Linked DNA regions of Daphnia pulex. The protein of the gene in region 1 purifies or fractionates together with the protein of each later gene. This does not show direct contact. Links are inferred from orthologs where the notes say so. Each region holds a gene or a part of one and is shown on either strand. Other genes may lie near its edges.

Evidence for each region.
Region 2: the proteins of mitochondrial import inner membrane translocase subunit Tim16-like (region 1) and mitochondrial import inner membrane translocase subunit TIM14-like purify together in Homo sapiens (affinity purification with mass spectrometry; 3 studies listed by BioGRID and IntAct, with this or other methods). This does not show direct contact. The link is inferred for Daphnia pulex from reciprocal best matches to the Homo sapiens genes PAM16 and DNAJC19.

What each region holds. Positions count from the first base shown.
Region 1 is NC_060022.1:2,882,525-2,885,170, reverse strand, and holds mitochondrial import inner membrane translocase subunit Tim16-like, read left to right. Parts: upstream 1-1,323; 5' UTR 1,324-1,412; coding exon 1,413-1,571; intron 1,572-1,649; coding exon 1,650-1,871; 3' UTR 1,872-1,981; downstream 1,982-2,646. Other genes in the region: pre-mRNA-splicing factor 38A-like, read right to left, coding at 1-207, 273-358, 422-543, 609-768, 834-963; furin-like protease 1, read right to left, coding at 2,428-2,646. UniProt on the Homo sapiens protein: Regulates ATP-dependent protein translocation into the mitochondrial matrix. Inhibits DNAJC19 stimulation of HSPA9/Mortalin ATPase activity.
Region 2 is NC_060023.1:5,722,298-5,725,360, reverse strand, and holds mitochondrial import inner membrane translocase subunit TIM14-like, read left to right. Parts: upstream 1-1,580; 5' UTR 1,581-1,712; coding exon 1,713-1,715; intron 1,716-1,790; coding exon 1,791-1,919; intron 1,920-2,005; coding exon 2,006-2,224; 3' UTR 2,225-2,316; downstream 2,317-3,063. Other genes in the region: dnaJ homolog subfamily C member 3-like, read right to left, coding at 54-266, 325-475, 562-743, 809-952, 1,019-1,329, 1,408-1,498. UniProt on the Homo sapiens protein: Mitochondrial co-chaperone which forms a complex with prohibitins to regulate cardiolipin remodeling.

The DNA.
Region 1 (2,646 bases):
ACGTTCTTTATCCCTATTACGACGAGAACGTTCCCGTTCTCGATCACTGTCCTGCTTTGAACGCGATGTAGTAGGAGGGGGCGACAACGAACCTCCTTTCCTTTCACCCTCTTCTTCTTCACTTTCTGAATCTTCTTCCTCCAAGTCTTCTTCCAAAGCTGATACTCTCGGCTCAACTTCATTAGCTTCTTCCAGAATTTGACGTTTCTGAAAGTAAAATAAACCGTATTTAATCAGTATTTTTTAGGTTGAATACTAATTCACATTTATACCTGAAGTCTGGGCAGGATAACATCACAAAAACGCTCTTCTCTCAGTAAACTATCAATGAAATCATCCATGTAAAGAAGCTCAAAATCTAAATAAAACCACATGTTAATTTGCAGTATTCTTTTTAAAAATATCTTATTTTTATTATTACTTCCTTCCTTGTTTTGAAACCGAATTTTTCTGTAATCATTGTAAAGTGGTTCTAAATATTTATAGATTTCCACAGATGTTCCAACAAGTCTCATGTAGAATGCTCCCAAGGCACGGACATATCTATAATGATACATTATATTAGGTGATTTCCTGTATAACTTGTCTGTTTTGGTCAAAGAACTTACTTGAAATCTTCATTTTTTATAAACTCCACTACAATGTCCTTTTCTGGTTGGATTTGAAGCATTTTTAGTGTAAGTGAGAGAAATGGAGTAGGTTTAACATTACCACCAAATATTCCACCAATGTACCTTAATTCCATGGCCTTATCCACCATCAACTCAGCTAAAAAAATACATATACATAAATAAAATGAGTGCATCAAAACACAAGTAAAATTTTCAATATACCTGTCAAAGCAAAGCATTCTTCTTTCCAGTACTTTGAATCATAAATTCGAGTTCTAATAATCTTTTCAACCAAGTATTGAGGATTTGTTCCTTTAACAGAAATTGCCTCTTTGATTGTTCGATTAGCCATTTTGAATTAATCTAAAACACTAGATGTGTACAGTCAAAAGAATAATCATTGAAATTTAACTGTGTTGATAAAAAGTAAAACTTTGTCGGCATTAGCAACGGAACGACAGAACGACGCTTGAATCCGTCGTCTGCTACGGACAGACAGAGACATCAAGTGGTCAAGTGGGTGGGGCGATCAATTCATCAATTGAAAAGAAAATTTTATCGTTATTTAGTTTACTTTTATGAAATATTTTTATATTTTTAACAAATCAATCACTTAAGTTATTTAAGATTTTTCAAACTAAATTTTTTAAACTGACCTGTCTGTTCTGAGAGAAGAGTCTTCATTTTTTTCTGTAGCTTTTCCGTTTGTTTTTCGCCTGCTAAACATTCCAGTATACTACCTTGATACTACTACAGACGTAAATCATCACGTAATCATTTTGAATCTATCTCGCCACGGTTATGGCAAAATATTTGGCCCAAATAATTGTTATGGGGGGCCAGGTTATTGGGCGAGCGTTTGCTAGAGCTCTTAAACAAGAATATCAAGCTAGCCAGGAAGCTGCCAAAAGAGCTGGTGGTGGGAAAGCCGGCGCATCACGTGTAGAAGCTAACTTCAAGGTTTGTTTGTTACACACAAAAGTTATGTAATATCAGTAAATTTTAAAAAGTTAACATGTTTTTTTTTTCATTCTGTAGACAGGCATGACCCTTGAGGAAGCAAAAGAAATCTTGAATGTGGATAAATTAGAACCTGAGTTGGTGCAGAAGAACTATGATCACTTGTTCCAAGTTAATGACAAGACGAAAGGTGGTTCATTCTACCTTCAATCTAAAGTATACAGAGCTAAAGAACGACTTGACCAAGAAATGAAACATGAAACAAAAAAACAAGAACCGTCAAAAGAAAATAAAATGTAACCTTCTCCAAAACGACAGTTAAGGTTATGGAAATTATCTGGAATTTATCTTTGTAGTCAAATTGAAAAATTGTACATATAGGGATAACTAATAAAAATCATTTTTTATAACCTTTTTTATTCTAATATTATAGAATCCTTATGCATATTTTTTTATTGTGATGTGATGTATAAACATTTTTTCAGGTATGATTTTAATTTAGTAGGCTTTGTTCTTACCTTTATATTTGAATCATATATTTTAGTGAAAACTTTAATCTTAACACAACTTGTGATTGCTGCAAATTTATTTCACTATACATTTACCAAGCTCATTTAATTATTTGTTTTATATGCATTAGGCCTTCTATAGCAAACACGGTTTTTACCAGTTTTTACAATGACTGACGACGACAATCAATATGGTATCCGTTAGAATGTAATTTATTACAGAATCTGGCAAACCGCTCATTCAAATATTTATAGAACCTTTTTACAAATATAATCTTTACATTTTATAAATATTAAAAACTGACATTTTATCTTCTAAACAATGTTGACTTTAGAACTTTTACTCTTTAAACTGATTTTTCGGCGCCAATAGGTGGAGGAAGATTTGCGCTTGTTTGTGTCAACAGATCGTAGTCACCTTGCCTGTGGTTCGTTTCCCGTTCGTTGCTGCCGCTACAACAGTTTAAAACAAAAGAAGAACTGAAACTCTTTTTAGTGCACATCATGTAAATCGTTAAAGCCATCACGAGTGCTAAATTAAACGCCAGAGCCAGTTCGACACCCAC
Region 2 (3,063 bases), on another chromosome or scaffold:
CTTGATGATTAATCCAAGACATCAATATATCAATATGTTAATTAATAATTTACCTTAGCATAATCTTGTTGAGCCTCGTCGAGCATATCAAGAGCAATGTAATCTTCAGCTCTGTCGCACAATATCCTCGGCTCTGTGTGCCGAGCTAAAGCTGAAGAGCAGAACTCGAGACTTTCCGAGTGTTCACCTAGTTGAAGATGGCAATGGCAAAGTTTATCTTCAGCCAAAAATAATAATTCTGATACGGTGGGATCCACTTTCAGGACCTATATGAATGGTTACATTGTTATTTATTGTGGAATTTAATAATTCAAAGGAAAATACTTTTTTAGCTGAAGTGATGCATCCTTGGTAGTTGTTGTCATTAGAGTTAGTTTGCAGATCCTGCACAAGCTTTGCCACTTTCTTGACTTTCTTGTAATGAGGAAAGCACTCCTTGTGTTCAGGATCAAGTTTCAAACATTCCCTAACTTGGCTGTAGAAAAAATAATTTAAGGTAAGCAACTTGTATCATATTGACAATATTATGCAGAACAAAACAAAAAACACAAGAATAATTACTTTAGAGACTCTTCTGGTTCTCCTAAGCCATAATACAGTTTAGAAAGCTTCATGAAAGCGCCGGTATTATCGGACATCAATTTGGTAGCTGCTTTTAAATCTGAAATAGCCTTTGATGCCTCTCCAATAGCTAGATAACACTCTGAGCGCATCTCTCGCAAACCAATATCCCAAGGGCAAATCTAAAGAAAGAAAATGTTAGCATAGTAGCAAGAAATCATTTGCAAGAAAGTTTATAAAAACATACATCAATAACTTGGGTTAAGAGATCAATGGCATGGTGGTAATCCTTGTCACTGAAAAACATTTGAGCTTGCATGTAACTCTTCTTCAATGATTCAATTGCTATGTAATTTTTGTTGACTTCACTATTTGTTGGTTCCTTTTTAAGCTGTGAAAGATAGACATATAGGAAATATTTTTTAATTAACTTGACCATAATAACATGTATACTTACAACTTTTTCCAACTCAATATGTGCCTCATGCAAACGCCCAAGCTTCATTAGGATATTTCCCTTCTGAGCTCTGGCTTGAATGAAATCTGGTTGGATTTCAAGAACACGATTCAAATCTTCTAATGCAGCTCTTGCTCTTCCCTGGGCAAGATATACAGTAGCTCTTCTGTATAATGTTAAGTAGTTAGAAGGATCTCCTTCTAGAGCTGCATGGAAATGGGTGAGTGCATCTTGGAGTTGGCCCTTAGCCATCATTAATTTACCAAGCTCTAAATGCTTTTCAATTTCCGAGGGATTGGCGTTTCCGTGAACTGTATAATGAAAAATAAATACATAAGACGTTTGAATCACAAGGACAATTTACATGAGTTGAAGAAACCGGCTTGTACCTTCGATGATTCCGATGCTAACGAGACAAATTAAGATTGAATACATTTGTCTTGAATGTGGGCCCCAATCAGCCATTTTTAAAGTTATCATTCTATTTTTTAAACTTAAGAGCTTTAAGAAGCCACAAGGATCACTTCAGACTGATAATAGAATAATCGTCTGTGATGTGGCCCAATCAGAAGACATTACGTGACAAACAAAGCCATCTGTTGTTTAGAATTTCAAGCTCGTGGGTAGATATTGAGTAACAGAGCAGACAACATTACAAAAACGTGACGAAACCTCTTGTCCTCCGAACGAAAAAATGGTAATATTTCAAAGTAAATTTTATTGTGTATAGTGAAACTAAAGTTTTGCTATTAATGTCTACTATGTAATTCAGTCAACAGCGATAGTTGTTGGTCTTGGACTGGCTGCTGTCGGATTTGCTGGTCGCACACTGCTTCGATCTGCTCCCACAATGACGACGAAGTTTAACGAAATACTCAAGCAGTTTCCTATGGATACTGAGGTATTAGATAGAATTAATTGTAAATGTTGATATTTTTCTACTTATGGTAATGTTCTTATTATCATTTTTTCAAATATTTTTTGTAGTCTCTTCTTGGAAGCAAGTACTACAAAGGTGGTTTTGATGCCAAAATGTCCAAAAGAGAAGCATCTTTAATACTTGGTGTATCACCAACAGCCAACAAAATCAGAGTGAAAGAAGCCCATAAAAGAATAATGCTTGCAAATCACCCAGATAGAGGTGGCTCACCATATTTAGCAGCTAAGATAAATGAAGCAAAAGATTTCATGGATAATTTGAAATAAAACATCTTTTGTGCAGGGGAGAACTATAGATTTCATTGTAAATAATCTAACTTTAGTAACATTTGTTCAAATAAAAGAGTCAACAGCTTCAATAATTGTATGTTTTGTATAATCAATTATTATTCATTTAGACAATTTGCAATTTGGAGGATGAATGTAGTTTGTTTGCTGTTCAGGTAAAATTACTATGATTGATTCAGCTAGTATATTTTACAACTTTTTCCAACATACTCATAAAGATGTAGAAAACAAAAATTAAAATATTACATTTCACTAGGAACACATAAAGAGAAACAAAACGGGCCCACGGGGAGATACCAAATGCCCGAGGCTATAAATCGGTACCGTTTGATTTGGCAACATTGTTCCATCTTTTCTTAGCAGTTAACAGACGAAAATACGTTTTTCAACATTATTGTCCTGTCGCTCTTGGATTCTTTCTCCAACTCAAGAGTCTTAAGAATTGTTGAGGAAACACCAATAGTGTTTTCAAATAAGGCTCATTTGTTAATTAACTACAGTCAGTTAAAGTTTATACTTCACGGTGATTAAAATGAAGCCAAATGTAGTTGTTGATGAAATGTTTCCTGAAGGTTAGTAGTCCACCATTCACCATCGTGATTAACATGATGATTACCACAGCCAATATTTTTATGGATTTTTTTTACATACATAGGTGCTGGCAGCTACATGGACCTAGATGAGGTAAGCATTAATCAATTGATTTTAAAAATCTAGTCTAGATGTATAGTAAACTGATTTCCCATTCAAATCATTTGTTAAATATTACAATTCCAAAATATATTCAAACATGTCATCTGAAAATCATTTGATAGCAT